Mus musculus: one gene and its partner. The protein of the gene in region 1 interacts with the protein of each later gene in a pairwise test. Links are inferred from orthologs where the notes say so. Each region holds a gene or a part of one and is shown on either strand. Other genes may lie near its edges. The genes, in order: Cd63 and Timp1.

The links.
Region 2: the proteins of Cd63 (region 1) and Timp1 interact in binary tests that used the Homo sapiens proteins (3 or more experiments, as listed by UniProt). The link is inferred for Mus musculus from reciprocal best matches to the Homo sapiens genes CD63 and TIMP1.

Annotation. Positions count from the first base shown.
Region 1 is NC_000076.6:128,906,075-128,913,963, forward strand, and holds Cd63 (CD63 antigen), read left to right. Parts: upstream 1-3,791; 5' UTR 3,792-3,884; intron 3,885-4,320; 5' UTR 4,321-4,331; coding exon 4,332-4,397; intron 4,398-5,377; coding exon 5,378-5,566; intron 5,567-5,720; coding exon 5,721-5,795; intron 5,796-5,893; coding exon 5,894-5,989; intron 5,990-6,086; coding exon 6,087-6,227; intron 6,228-6,363; coding exon 6,364-6,447; intron 6,448-6,600; coding exon 6,601-6,666; 3' UTR 6,667-6,748; downstream 6,749-7,889. Other genes in the region: Rdh5 (retinol dehydrogenase 5), read right to left, coding at 7,639-7,868. UniProt on the Homo sapiens protein: Functions as a cell surface receptor for TIMP1 and plays a role in the activation of cellular signaling cascades. Plays a role in the activation of ITGB1 and integrin signaling, leading to the activation of AKT, FAK/PTK2 and MAP kinases.
Region 2 is NC_000086.7:20,867,137-20,874,907, reverse strand, and holds Timp1 (metalloproteinase inhibitor 1 isoform a precursor), read right to left. Parts: upstream 4,743-7,771; 5' UTR 4,584-4,742; intron 3,878-4,583; exon of another isoform or gene 3,875-3,877; 5' UTR 3,870-3,874; coding exon 3,746-3,869; intron 2,132-3,745; coding exon 2,052-2,131; intron 1,859-2,051; coding exon 1,732-1,858; intron 1,541-1,731; coding exon 1,416-1,540; intron 438-1,415; coding exon 276-437; 3' UTR 171-275; downstream 1-170. UniProt on the Homo sapiens protein: Metalloproteinase inhibitor that functions by forming one to one complexes with target metalloproteinases, such as collagenases, and irreversibly inactivates them by binding to their catalytic zinc cofactor.

The DNA of each region.
Region 1 (7,889 bases):
TGTGTGTGCTTGAGTTCTCTTCCTCTTCCCCTTCCCTTTTGTCTCCCCCAAGAGCTACCCCCACAAACCTGCTTTCATACTTTAATTTGGCTTAAATTGGCTCATTTCGTTGGCAGAGAGTAACCTATCACATGACATTTCCATACATGAATATTTACCCTGTTTTTCCTTTTCCTATTCATCCCCTGTTCTCTTTTCCCTCCCACGTCACTAATAATAATTCTCCATTTACTTTCATGTCCTTTTAAAAAGCCGTTCCGGAGTCCACATGTGAGAGAAAACATGTGATGTCTGTCTTTGTGACCACGGTGACCTCTGGTTCCGTTTGTTTTCATGCATGCTACATCTCTCTGGATGTGTGGTGTTTGTCTATGTGTGTGAGGTTAGAGAAGGAAGTTAGGTGGCCAGCTTTATCATCTTCCACCTTGGTCCCTTGAGACTGGACTTGGAGCTAGGCTGATGGCCAGCAAGTCCCAGTGATCCCCTTGTCTCAGTTCTGAGATGCTTGTGGAGCTACACCTGATTTTTAAAAAAATGTAATTTTATTTATTTTGTTTTTGTATTTTGGAATATTTATTTATTATTTGCTTATGTATTTAAATTACTTTTATTCTTTTACAATCCTCCCATTCCCTTCCTGTTCTCACCCCCACAGTTGCTCATCCCGTTCCTCCTCCCATCTCCAAAAGGATGTCCCCACCACCACCATAATTTTATTTTTTGCTTATTCACTTTACATCCTGCTCGCTGGTCACCCCTGTCCACATAGTCCTTGCCCTTCCCCCTCCCCTTCTCCTCTGAGTGGTGGAGGCCCCCCCACCATATCCTGCCACCCACACACCTGATTTTTTTTTTTTTTTTTTATGTGGGTGCTTGGATCAGAACTCAGGTCCTTATGTTTGTGCAAGTGCTCTTACCTACTGAGTGATCTTTCCAACCCTTAGGATACATAATTTTAAGAATATATGCGTGTATATGTGCGTGTATATTTTGCCTGCATGTATATATGTGTAATATATATATATATATATATATATATATATATATATATATGTGTGTGTGTGTCTGATATATGCCCAAGAAGGCAAGAAAATGGCATCATATCCACTGGAATTGGAGTTACAGAGGTCATAGGCCACCATGTGTATGCTGGGAATTGAAGTCAGGCACTCTGTAAGAGCAAGTGCTCTAAACAACTGAGCCATCTATCTCCCCAGCCCTTTCTCCTCCTCTTCCCCCTCTTCCTCCTTCCCCTCTTCCTCCTCCTTTTCTTTTTCTTCCTCCTCCTTTTTCTTTTCTTCCTCTTCCTCTTTCTCCTTTCTCCTCTTCTGCCTCCTCTTCCTCCTCTTTCTTTTCTTTTTCCTCCTCTTCGTTCTCCTTTTCCTCTTCTTCTTCTTCCTCTTTCCCTTCCTCTTCTTCCTCTTTTTTCTTTTTCCTCTTCTTCCTTCTCCTTTTCCTCTTCTTCTTCCTCCTCTTTCTCTTCTTCCTCCTCCTCTTCCTCCTCTTTCATTTCTTTTTCCTCCTCTTCCTTCTCCTTTTCCTTTTCTTCTTCCTTTTCTTTCTCTTCCTCTTCCTCCTCCTCCTTTTTGAGACAGGGTCCCAGCATATGGCCCAAGCTGGCCTGTAAGTCATGATTGCTCTACTTCAGCCTGAGTATGGAAATAATAAACATGTGCTATCACGCCAAGGTTCTTCATTTATCTGGTACTGATTTATTATTCGATTATTTACTCATATTTGGAGACAAGGACTAATTCCTTAGACTGGCCTCAAACTCCTTAGGTAGCCAAGGATGATCTTGAATTCATGAGACTTATGCCTCTACCTCATGAGTTCTGGAATAATAAGCACATACCACAACCATGCCTGGTTCATGAGGTGCTAAGAATACAAGCCCAGGCTGTCTGCATATTAAGCAAGCACTTTACCAACTGAACTACGTCCTCAGCTCAGGTTTATTCTTGTTTTTTTTGAGATGGGGTCTCGAGTCGTAGCTCATTCTGGCCTTGAACTTTGAATGACCAAGGGATCCTCCCGTTTCAGTCTCCCAAATGCTATACTTATAGGTGTATACCACTGATTTTGTTTTGGTTGGATTGAGACAAGGTGTTGTTGTGTAGCCCAGGATGGCCTGTAACCTTCAGCCATCCTGCCTTCACCTCCATAGTGCTGGGAAGGACAGGCCTCACCATCATGCCTAGACTTCTTTGTAGCCTGGGAACTGAGCCTGAGTTCGTGACACATGCTCTACCATAGATCTGCATGCATTTCCATTCGCCATTTTGAACTATAGTCTCACTAGCACTGGGTATACAGCTTAGCTGGTAGAGTGCTTGCCTAGTAGGCACAAAATCCTGGGTCTGGTGCCAGAACTGCATAAACTAGATGCACTTGTGCACACCGGTGGTGCCAGCACTTGTGGAGGCAAAATGACCTGCAGTTCAGGGTTATCCTCAGCTACATATGGAATTCCAGGCCAGCCTGGGCTACATGAGACCCTGATTCCAAAGAGATAGGTGTGTGTGTGTGTGGTGTCTCACTAAACTGTCCAGAGTGGCTTTGAATTTTTGATTTTCTTGTGCCAGGTGTGGTGTCATGGACTTTTAGTGTCTGGAGGCTGAGGCAGGCAGATCTCTGAGTTTGAGGCCAGCCTGGTCTACAGATAGAGTTCCAGGGCAGCCGGGTCTACACAGAGAAACCCTATCGAGAGAGAGAGAGAGAGAGAGAGAGAGAGAGAGAGAGAGAGAGAGAGAGAATATGAAAGTGCTGGGATTACATATGTGTGCCACCAGCTGGCCTTTGTTTTAATTGTTTCTTTATATACAGTCCCTTCCCTTCAGATTCAGTAAGCAACTCAAGGCAGAAGGAGCTGCGGAGAAAAGGACAAAGTTCAGGTTAGGAGTGTAAGGCCGGTCGGTCCTATCTGAGCTTTTTACAACAGTTCCTTCTGTGAACCACCAGCGGCACACGGGAGAAAGGTATTTCTAACTCTCGCCTTTACCTGGTTTTGCCATCTCTGATGAAAAGAGGAATAAGATACGGAAGTCCATGCTATTGCCTCGCCGGCCTTAGTGTCCTTTCTCACATCTCCATTAACCACTGGCTAATCCAGGAGCAAGGGAGCTCTAAGGCTTTGTTAATCTTTTCCCAGGAGGGCCCAGGCTCTGACGTGTTATGATTGACGCATGGAAACGGGGTTCTAGACAAGGGCTTCCTCAAAGGGTTTTCTCAGCTCAGGAGTTCTAGAAAATGGAGAAGCTGGGGCCATAAAACCCTAGTCCAGAATGTTGGGAGACTTCTAGGATGGGAAGCTAGGGGCTTTCTGGAAGTGTTTATTCTGACTTCACCCAGTGCCACTCAACCCACACCTTCTGCGGGTGGCTCGGGAATGGGGCGGGGGGCAGGGCCTTGAACAAGGACGGAGAGGGAGCTGCGTGGTGGGTACTCGGTGGGTTGAGGTCTGCAGATGACCGTTTTGATACTTTGGCTCAGTTCTGTCTTTGGGCAACTCTGAGCCGCCGTGCGTCCTCTGGACTCTGACTCGCCTACTCCTGAACCAGAGAGAACCAGACGGCGCCTGGGTTGCAGAGGGCTCCGGGAACCCTGAGGTCCGGCTCCTGGCTCGAGCCTTCCAGGCAGCGGCCACGTGGCCTTGTCCTGGCGGGGGGCTCACCTCCCCCTGCTAGCCTGGTGACTCAGGCCGCAGCTGTTCCCGTGTCACATGAGAGAGAGAGGGAGGGAGGGAAGAAGGCGGCCACCCTGCGGGGGAGGGGGGCGGCCGGAGCCGGGGCGGGGCCGTGCAGCAGGCGGGGCGCGGGCAGGGGGCACGGGAGACGGCGGCTGAGCCGCGGCAGGAGAGTACTGAGAAGCGTCGGGGAGCGCAGGTGAGCCGGGCCCGGGGACCCGGGGGACGTCCGTGGGGGCAACTTTGCCTCGAAGTTCGCGGGGCGCCATCCGCGCCGCACCCGAGGGGAGGCTCGCGCCCAGGGGCTGGCGAGGGTCTCGGGTCGCGGCCTGTCGGGATCGGGGATCGGGAATCGGCGCTGTGCAGCGGCGGGCGGAGATCTACCTGGAGTCCGGCCGCGCCCTCCGTGCGTCCCGGGATCCCGAGATCCCGAGGCCCCGCTGCGTGGCGCGCCCCAGTCCGGCCGGCGAGCGGGGAGGGCTGGGAGACGTGGGTCTGACCGCGGGTTTCTGGGTGGGAGGGCAGCGATGGGGGCCGCGCAGGGAAGGCTGCGAAGGCCGGCGGGGAGCTGCGGATGTGGCGGCCCCTCGGCCTGCTCTACCTGCTCTAATCCTTGGTGTTCTCCGCGGCCCCAGGCCCAACAGCCATGGCGGTGGAAGGAGGAATGAAGTGTGTCAAGTTTTTGCTCTACGTTCTCCTGCTGGCCTTCTGCGTGAGTAGTGCGGGGAGAGCGACGGGGCGCCCGGGCGGGGTGCGGGGGGGGGAGTCTTGGAGCGGGAGCCGTGAAGGGTGAGGGACCCAGAGATGAAGGCAGCTGGAGGCCAGATGTGGAAGGAAAGCCCAGGGAAAAGGGCCAAAGGCAGAACGTGTCCGCGCTACCTCCCTTCCCCATCCCCCACGCGCAGCTTTCCGGGACCTCTGAGTAAAGTTTGGACCGAGAATTGCCATCCTAGACGGGGAGCACCCCCAACCAACCCCCTCCTGGCCCTTCCTGTCTGGTGACCCAACCATTCGTGGTACGGGGTGGTGGGGCAACCTGCCAACGGTCTGATGGTATCGCCAAGGGGCTGTCTCCACTCCTCACACCGTTGATTCCTCTCCATTCTCTTAGCCCTCTCATTTACTTGGGGGTAGGAAAGGCTCTGCCCTCCTTCATTTGCTCCTCCCTGTGTGTTCTGAAAGGGGCCACTCTTTTTTTGTTTGTTTGTTTTTCGAGACAGGGTTTCTCTGTATAGCCCTGGCTGTCCTGGACCTCATTTTGTAGACCAGGCTGACCTCGAACTCAGAAATCCGCCTGCCTCTGCCTCCCGAGTGCTGGGATTAAAGGCGTGCGCCACCACGCCCGGCCCGAAAGGGGCCACTCTTACCCCCTCCTCCGCCCTAGCCTAGCTGGCCCTAGGACCTGAGTCACTGGAGTGAGGGGGTAGTTCTGGGAGAGACTCTAGCTGGGAGTCCATAGAAAGTAACCCATATCCTGTGCCGAAGCGCTGTTTAAAGGCAGCATGACACCTCCCGATTCCCTTCTCCTTGTGTGCCTTAAACAACTTCCCAGCCTTCATTGTGGGGCAAGGATGGGCAGACCTTGTCTACAGCCAGTGTTTCCTGGAGGTGTAGGATCTATCTTCTGGGTGGGGGTCGGGTGCGAGGGCTACTGGACTGAGGATCTGACCTAACTCTCGCCTTTTTCCTCAGGCCTGTGCAGTGGGATTGATCGCCATTGGTGTAGCGGTTCAGGTTGTCTTGAAGCAGGCCATTACCCATGAGACTACTGCTGGCTCGCTGTTGCCTGTGGTCATCATTGCAGTGGGTGCCTTCCTCTTCCTGGTGGCCTTTGTGGGCTGCTGTGGGGCCTGCAAGGAGAACTACTGTCTCATGATTACAGTGAGTGGGGTGTGGGAGCTCTTGGGGGCTACCGGAAGCCTTTTCTGTGGTGAAGGTGGGTGGATGGAGAACACCAGGAAAGTCTCAGTAATTGACCGGGTCAGAGCAAGCCCTTTAAATCCAGACTTCAAACCCAACTCCTGTCCTCCCACAGTTTGCCATCTTCCTGTCTCTTATCATGCTTGTGGAGGTGGCTGTGGCCATTGCTGGCTATGTGTTTAGAGACCAGGTAAGCAGGGAATGGGGGGGGGGGGACCCATCTCAGGTTGCTCTGGGAATCTGGGGCCGGAAGTCTGTTCTCTACAGCACCCACTTCTCTGCTCTTAGGTGAAGTCAGAGTTTAATAAAAGCTTCCAGCAGCAGATGCAGAATTACCTTAAAGACAACAAAACAGCCACTATTTTGGACAAATTGCAGAAAGAAGTGAGTGGGATGGCCGGGAGGAGGGTTAGCCGGGATAGAAGATTCTCAACTCTGAATTAAAGTGGAGGTTTCCCTCCCATCCCTCTTCCCTTCCTAGAATAACTGCTGTGGAGCTTCTAACTACACAGACTGGGAAAACATCCCCGGCATGGCCAAGGACAGAGTCCCCGATTCTTGCTGCATCAACATAACTGTGGGCTGTGGGAATGATTTCAAGGAATCCACTATCCATACCCAGGTAGGGAGAAGGAGACAGGAGATGCTTACGGGATCAGAGTTGGGGGATGAGATCTGGGGATAGGGGTTGGGAGAAAGGGACAGGAGGAGGGAGGTAGAAGTTTCTGTTGGTATTCATGCCTGCCCCTTCCCTTCAGGGCTGCGTGGAGACTATAGCAATATGGCTAAGGAAGAACATACTGCTGGTGGCTGCAGCGGCCCTGGGCATTGCTTTTGTGGAGGTGAAGAATGCTGTGGGCTGGGGGGGGGGGGTCTGAATCAGCCCAGGGCATCTGGGGAGCAGGAGGCACCGGCCTGGGAACAGTGGCTGTTGGATGGGTTTGGGGAAGCTTGCCCTGCCTCCTCTCCACCCTCATTTCCATCTTTCCTTTCAGGTCTTGGGAATTATCTTCTCCTGCTGTCTGGTGAAGAGTATTCGAAGTGGCTATGAAGTAATGTAGGGGTGGGGGGCGTTTGGTCTTTTCATGGAGTGGATTCTCCAGGTTTTTCAATTAAACGGATTATTTTTTCAGACCTAAAAAAGGAGATGGTCTCAGTTTATCTTAGAGTGATGGATGGCCCCTTCCTTTTCCTTCTCCCTGTCGCTGCCCTGAAATTAGGCAGGCATATTTAGGGGCATTTGGGGAAAGGTGTATTTTCTTGAGGGTGTTGGTTGGGCTGGCAGTGGAAGAGGTGGGGAATCCAGAGGAGGTTGTAGCTGAGTGCTCTCCTCTGCCCCTGGCTTTGTGCTGCCTGCTTAGCCTTCAAACAGTGTTGCCGCAGCATCCTTGAGGCCATCTCCTGCATAAGTCAAAGGGAGTTTCCATAGAGGTCCTACGCAGTAGAGCCTGGACATGTCTATTTTGGACAACTTTTTGGCTTTCTGATGCTTTGAGGGCCAGCAAACTCCTCCCTCAACCCTCAAGAAGAATGTTTAAGAATTTTGCCGCCTGTGTGGCAGTGTCCCTGAGTTTATTTCCTTCTTTCACGGAAGCCACCCAATCTGGCTATGATCACTTTTCATCACTTTCCCTTCTATCCCCAGGAAAACTAGACAATGGTGTGCCAGGCGCCAACTAGGAATTCTCATTTCTCTGCTGAGAAAAGCGCCCTCTGGTGGCCATCTCTCCAAGTGCTGCACCAAAAAGCATCTGTAGGTGCAAGGTAGCTCCTTACACCACCCAGTGTACAATAGAAGTTTCGCAGGCACTAAAGAGGCAAGAGAGTTTGCTCCCTGGGCAGCTTAGGGATTTTAGATACTTAAATCTTGTCAGGCTCCCACAGGTACCTTCATTTCTGTACACCTGCTTTTTGATTTAAAGCAATACATATTTATTGAGAGCCTAATTGGTATCAGAAACCAGGCAGCACTGGGTAGACACAGAAATAGATGCCTTGCTTTTCAAAATCAGCCTCTTGCTGTAAAGCTGGAATCAGGAGACTGACTGGGCGGGCCGGGGAAGGATCCAGGTGAGCACAGCATCCACCACCCTGGCTGGAAGGTAGGAGGCAGGCAGCCAGAGCAGCTTGGCATCCCAGCCTGGGCTGTAGCGTGTTCGGGGGTGGCGAGCAGTCAGGGCATGCTCCAGGCAGCTGGTCACCTTCGTTAGTTCTGGGTCACAGATCAGGTTCATGATGCGGCGCTGTACTCGAAGATCTGTAGCTTGGAAGATGCTGTAGTTAG
Region 2 (7,771 bases), on another chromosome or scaffold:
TAGAGATTGAACCTAGGGTTTTCTACATACCAGGCATGTGCTCTACCACTAAGCTTCATTTCTAGCCTCCAAACTCAACATTTTGCATCTTTTCCTTGTTCATTGGTTTCTGGAAGCTCCCAGCAGGTTATCAGTATCTTAAGCTTGTTCCCAAACACTATACAGAAATATTGCTGCTGTCTGATAGTTCTTTATTTCACCATCTAAGAGAAAGAAAGATGGAGGAAAAGTAGACAGTGTTCAGGCTTCAGTTTTTCCTGGGGGAAGGCTTCAGGTCATCGGGCCCCAAGGGATCTCCAGGTGCACAAGCCTGGATTCCGTGGCAGGCAAGCAAAGTGACGGCTCTGGTAGTCCTCAGAGCCCACGAGGACCTGATCCGTCCACAAACAGTGAGTGTCACTCTCCAGTTTGCAAGGGATAGATAAACAGGGAAACACCTAGAAGAGGGGAAAAAGGCCCATCTCTGAGGATTTCTCTTTCCCTCTGTTTGTTCTCTCCCTTGTATAGAGTCTCAGTCTCTCTCTCTCTCTCCCGCCCTCCCCCCCCCCACACACACACACCAGGGAGCTGCTAGGAAGGGTTTGTGTTGCCCTACTTGTGCTTAAACCCAAGAACAGCTTCTCCCATTTGAGGAACAGAAAGCCAGTGTTCTGGAATTGCTGTTAGAGAACTGTCACTTGAAGTCACTCAGACAGGCCTCCTGAAGAACCGTCCCACAGGGCAGAGAAGTGATAGTATGGGGAACAGTTGGCATGCAGGAAGAGCAAGCATAAGAAAAGGCAGCAGGGAGGGCTGGAGAGATGGCTCAGTGGTTAAGAGCACTGACTGCTCTTCCAGAGGTCCTGAATTCAGTTCCCCAGCAATGACATGGTGGCTCACAACCATTTGTAATGGGATCCAATGCCCTCTTCTGATGTGTCTGAAGACAGCTACAGTGTACTCATATACATAAAATAAATAAATCTTTTTTTAAAAGGAAAGGCAGCAAGGCTCTTGGACAATGACTGGGGAGGGGGCTGGTCAGAGGATGTTTGGTGCCACCAGGAAAAAGTTTTGAAATAGTCAGATGGCTGGCGTGTGTCCCTGTGGATTTGGAGAATAGTCCTTTGAATTCTTGCAGCTTATGCCTGGGGAAGCAAAATCCAATCGGGGAGGTCAGAAACAGAGAGTGGTGTCTCAGAATAGTCACAAAGGAAAGTTAGACAGACAGCGAAGGTTCAGGGAACAGGCAGTCCAGAGATAACAAAACAACCAAAATTTCCAAAAGAACAGGCCCAGGGGTGGAGCAATGGCAAGAGAAATCAAAGATAGTGATTGGGTTTGGGCAGCAACTACAACTGCATACAATAGCCAGAGGGAAAAAGAAACCATTCCAAGACTTATCTCCTGGAGGAAAACTGGGTCCAGGCACTTACTGTGCACACCCCACAGCCAGCACTATAGGTCTTTGAGAAAGCTCTTTGCTGAGCAGGGCTCAGAGTACGCCAGGGAACCAAGAAGCTGCAGGCACTGATGTGCAAATTTCCGTTCCTTAGGCGGCCTGTAAGAGAAGCAAGAAACCAATAGGCTTTTGGATTGGCTGGGTGGGGTCGGAGTGGTCACCTAATTAGCATTAGGTTACAGACCCTCCCACTCCCATTTCAACCAGGCCCTTTTCCTTTAGAGCCTAACTCCTCCCAGTTGCCTGAAAGCATTAGGGATGTGGCCCAAGGTGAAGGGGCGGGGCCTCACCCGTGATGAGAAACTCTTCACTGCGGTTCTGGGACTTGTGGGCATATCCACAGAGGCTTTCCATGACTGGGGTGTAGGCGTACCGGATATCTGCGGCATTTCCCACAGCCTTGAATCCTTTTAGCATCTGCCCATGAGTGACAAAAAGTACATCTTTTACTGACATAATCCTCCCACTCCACTCTCTTTCCTGATGGCAATATATCTAAATCACAAGTTTACAGAAAACATCCACACCAACGAAAGGTTAGATGCTTCTATTTTGAGGAGAAGGAATAGGTTAGGTACAGCCATGGAGGGAGGGAGGGAAGGGAAAATACCTTAGTCATCTTGATCTTATAACGCTGGTATAAGGTGGTCTCGTTGATTTCTGGGGAACCCATGAATTTAGCCCTTATGACTAGAGGAAAGGAAGGGGAAATGGGGAATCAAATGGGCAAGCAGCATGAACCCATAGCAGCAAAGCATATATACAGCATAATTCAAATGGCTTCCACATCAGTTGATTCATCTACATATTGTCTATTCTTTTAGGCACTGTTTTAAGCCCTTTTCATATATCCATTTATTGGCTTACTCAACAAATATTTTGGAGTGCCTGGTGCCAGCCACTGTTCAGGGTGTTAGGGACAGTGACCCAAATACAGGAATCCATTTCCTTATGGAGCTCACATTCAAGCCAGGAGGAGACAGACTAACATTAAGTAGCCAGGCATGGTGGCACAGGCCTGTAACCCTAGCTCTGTCAGAGCCTGATGGAGGATCACTTTACTCTGAGTTCAAGACTAGTCTAGACAATTTAGTGAGAACCTGTTTAAAATAAAAAATTCACCAAAAAAAGGGTTGGGTTTGTAGCTCAATTGTGCAGTATTTGCCTGGATCCTAGGTTCAATCCCCGGTACCAAGGGGAAAAAGAAAAAAAGGTATGTGGATTGTTACAGGCTATTAAGTGGGTTAGAAAATTAGAATAGGGAAGGGGTTGACAGATGCTTTGCTTGACCACAATTTACTCAGGCTCATTAACCTTCTTCCAAGCTCATTAGTACAGTTTCTCTTTAAAATCCACTTGTAGCGAAGTATCCTAAATTAGGTTAGTGAAAACACCCACCCTTATCTGATTCTCCTCAGTATGTGATGGGGCCACCAGATGATTATACTAGCCAGTTTTCAAGAGACCTAAACTGGGTGTGATGGCACAGACCTGCAATCTCAGCACTTGGATGGCTGAGTGGGAAGGATCAGGGGTTCAAGGCCAGCCTGGGTTATATAGTGAGACCTAGTCTCAAAAACAAAAAGTAAGCTGATAGGCTAGAGAGATGACTTAATGGTTAAGAGCACTTGCTGCTCTTTGAGGTCCCAAGTTTAGTTCCCAGAATCCACATAGGGTAGCTCACAACCATTCATAACTCCAGCTCCAGGGGATTTGATGCCTTGAGGACCCACAGGCACCTACACACCACACATGGAATACACACAAACATACACATAAATAAAAATAATCTTTTTAATGGATTTAGCCTGAATCCTCTTGCCTTTGATATTTCTTCTCAATGGTTTCCCATTCACCAACTCCCAAACTGTTCCTTGGCCATTGAGTTCCATTTGCCCATGTAATGTTGAGAGTTAATCTATCTCCCCCCACCACCCCCATCTCTTGGCAAATTCTAATTGTCATGGTCCTGAATGAAGTCTGCCTGCCTGTGTCCTAAGAAGTGCCATTAACAGCATATGTAACAAAGGTTCAGGAGTACTATGTGGCTGGCATTAAATTTAAAATTAAATAAAAGTAGGCAAGCACCTCAGTAAGATGACTTTTAAGGCAGCCACCCATGTAGATAACTACAGAAAAGCATGTACATAGTACTGGGAGCAGCCAGCACAAAGGTAGGCTTAGGCCCAAGGATGTCAGTGTGGCAAAAGCAGATGTATGGAAGGGTAAGTAGAACTGTCCTAGAGACAACTGCCATAATGAACCCTATTGGATTAAGAGGGACAGAAAGGGGGCCAGACTCACCCAGGTCCGAGTTGCAGAAGGCTGTCTGTGGGTGGGGTGGGGCACAGCTACAGGCCTTACTGGAAGCTATCAGTGATAGCAACAAGAGGATGCCAGATGCCAGAGATGCAAAGGGGGCCATCATGGTATCTGCTGGTAAAGAGTAGGTGTTAATAGGTTCCCAGACCAACGGCTTACATGGCCATTGGTCCTAGGGAGATTTGGGACCTCTTTAGGTTAGAGAATGGAGTTGTGGCAGTTGGTGAATAAGGGAGCGGAGAACGTTGAGAATTTAACAGAATTGGGAAAATCTGACATTTGTGTAGTGATGAATTTGGAGTTTGGGAAACTGGAGAAATATAATGAGGAATTAGGGCTATTAAAATATAATGGGCTGAGGATTTCAGAGATATTGGGGGGTTAGAACAGGTTTGGGGTTTTAGGGAGCTGGAGAAAATGGGGGTTAAGGGTCTTGGGGAATTTGGAGGTTTACGACAATGGTAATGCTTGAGGAATTTGTAGGCAGAAGAACTGTTGAAGTTCCATGAACCAGACATGGCAAAGAGAACAGGGGAGTTACCAGGAACCATAAGGATTGAGGGACAGGCAAGTTGGGAAGTCTTCAAGGTATTAAAGGCTTGTGGGTTTGGAGCACTTAGCAAAGGCATGAAGGAGTCTGGAGAGTCCAGCTTGGGACGATCATTCCAGGCCCTCTCCCGTTATATTCCTCTTTAGCTAACTAGGGATCCTGATACCTGCAAGCCACGTGAGCAGTTAGTCTGGCAAGGGCTGCATGAGCCGCACCAACACAGGCTCCAGGCAAGCCCCAGTTCTGCCAGGACACCCGGCTCCCACTTACCTCTGGTGTGTCTCTAGGAGCCCCGATCTGCGATGATGGCGGCAGGGGCTGCACAGTGGAGAATAAATGTCCATGCGAAGGGCGGAGTTGGCGGGGAAATCACTGCCTCCAGGCTTCCTGGACGCATTACTCATCCACCCACCGCTGGAGTCAAAGCCTAGGGGCGGGCCCCAGGATAAACCCAAAGATACTCCCTCCTCTGCCAGCCAGCCCACTGCGCCCCCTTCCCCCAGCTCCACGTCATGCACAGTCCTTCCTGGCGGCCTTGAAGGGCAGAAGAGAGAGCGCCTAAAGCTTTGTGCCTCTCAGGTTTCCCATATTCCCCAAACTTCCTGTGGCTGAAGCCAATAACTTCTTTCTCACGCCTTTCATCTACTATGTAACAATCTCACAAGAAAGGCATTCCTGTGGATCTGAAATTCTGGTGAGGGGTGTCAGAGGGTGACAAACTAGAAAAGCAGTTGAGGGACATGACATGGGAGAAGAGGCACAAATACATAGTGGGGAAATTGATACACTGGATAAGTCTATGACTTATCCAAGATAGCAGTTGAGTCTGGCAGAACTGGGAGGGAACCGAGGCTGCTTGCAGACAGAGCCTAGGTACCCCAAACCTTGCTGTGGCTGCACACACCGGTGAGGCTATTTGAAGATATCATCAGCTACAAGAGACCCTGTCTTAAACAGAAACAAGACCAAACAGGCAAATAACTGAAGTAAAGATCTTTGTTAGTGTCACAGGACAAAACAGGGATTTAAACCTAGGCTTCCTGACCCTGGAGTCCTAACTCAGGCAGGACACAATCTTGACAAGCAGGGAATGGTGTGGTGAGCATGGGTGGTGGTGGTGGTGGTGACTGATGGTAAAAGAAGTTAGTGAGTCAGTAGAAAAACCATCCCTACTCCATCCTGCCCTGCCCCTTCCCCCACCAACCAGCCCACACCCCTTGTGGGGATGGGATGAGGCAACTGCTGCCCACCAGCTTCCTGATGATGCAGGAGTATTCCCTGGGGTCCTGTGGAAGGGTTCTATGGACTGATTAGCATCTTCAATTAATATAGGGAGGAAAGACCAATAATAATGACAATGGTTGTAATCGCAGCAGGCAAGCTGATCCAGAGAATTAGAGGGTACATAGTCTATACAGTGAGTTCCAGGACAGCCAGCGATACATAGTGAGAACCTGTGACAGAGATAGAGAGAGAGACAGAGAGAATATGGTAGTGGTGATCACAGCTACTTACTGAATGCTTACTGTACATCATTACTAAGGTTATTATGTAAATTTACTTTAGCTAATTCAATTTTATTAACTTAGGTAAATTGGTTCAGAAACCACAGGACACAAAAACCTCCTGCCAGCACTCAACAGGGTACTATGTACAATACACTGTTTTAAAAGGTTTTTTTTTACACTGTGTGTGTGTGTGTGTGTGTGTGTGTGTGTGTGTGTGTGTGTGTGTGTGTGTGTGTGTGTGTTTGTGCCATGACATGCTTGCATTGCTTAAAGGACAACTTGCAGGGGCCAATCCTCTCCTTCCCTGTGGGTTCTAGGGCTCAAACTCAGGTTATCAGGCATGGAGGCAGCAAGCACCTTTATCTGATGGGCCATATTGCCAGCTCAGAAATTTTGTTTGTTTGTTTGCCATTGTCCTCCTTGTTCCTTAATGTTATTTAATGAAGAGGTATTAAATCAATAACAACAATAATAGTAACCAACTCTTTGAAGATTCAGGTTTACTATATGTGTATACTAAGATTTTCTTTTCTCTGAAATAATTGACTTATTCTTCCCAACATATCTGTGAGGTATGATTCATATTTTTACTATTTAGTAAGAAAACAGAGACAGAAAGGAATCAAATGGCCTGTCCAGGAAAGATGGTGAAGAAATTACTGTGGTGGTGGGAGGAGGTACAGAGAAAAGGAGAAAGGGAAGGAGACCAAAATTTTCAACCATCTGATTGTGAAAGTGAGGAGAAAGTGAGACAGGGGGCTGAGTAACTAGGCGGCAGGACTGAGGAGACGTAAAGACAGGGAAAGTCCTGTCTCGCCTCTTCTATGAGCCAGCTTCTGACGACAGCTCTTTAACTATGAAACCTGAGTCAGCACAGTTTTGCCAGCTGTTTACATTAAGGATTCAGATTATTGTACAGGTTTGAAATGGAGTGGGGTGGACATTACAGAGGGATGTTTAGCCTGTGACTATCTGCTAAACTGGATAGGTGTGAGGTTCCCATAGTGATCTGCTGTCATGTGTAAATACCTGATGATACCCAGAGTATTAAGTGCGAGAGCTTGATTATTTCCCTCTGGAAACTGAGGCCCAGTAAGACAGTACCTACCTGGGATTTTTTAATGGCCTTGGGAAGAATAAAGGCCAAGATAGCAGGCTAAAGCTCCCCAGGAAGTCCCAAGGCCCCTGTATGCACATATGGCAGGCACACACTTAGATGCACCCACAGTGTTCAAGCTCATGAACAGAGGAAGCAAAGTAAGTTTGGGAAAATGATCCACAATGCTCAGCAGATGGGAATAGATATTCTTGTATATGAACAGCTCTGTCATGTATCTGTGCCGCAAGGGGTGGCTTATGTCCCTTGCAAGGCATGCTCCATGTCCCTTCCTGAGAGCCAGGTGTGTGCCTGAGTGTGTTGCTTCTGAGAGTGGAAGGTTGCCAATGTAACTATGCCTGTCTCAAGCTTCTCTGTGTGATGAGTAGATGCCCAAGTAGAAAGTTTCTCCCTATACACACACATCTTGGCATTGTTTCCTTGGCCTGCTCCCTGGATGACACCCTTACCAACATCATACCACTCAGTTCTCTGCCTTCCTATGATGTCACTCATTTGGGAAATGAGGAAGGAGATTGTAGAGGGAGGGAGAGACCTGAAGGTCAATCAGTCACCCTTAGACTATGGGGCTTCCTGTGCCTGTTGGGAACTGCCACTGACCCAGAGCCTAAGAATGCTATCTCTACCCTGTCAGTAGGAGGCAGGGGCCCTACATTTGCACATGGGGTATGGTGGGGCTAGAGTCCTCATACTCTTTGCCTAGCCTGGGACACAGGGAGACTTAACACATCTTTGCCTAACACATATTTGCCTGAATATGTGTCCTGAATATGTATTATCTGTGTGTCTGATTTTCTGTATGCTTGTATTACAGATATGGAAAAAAAACATGT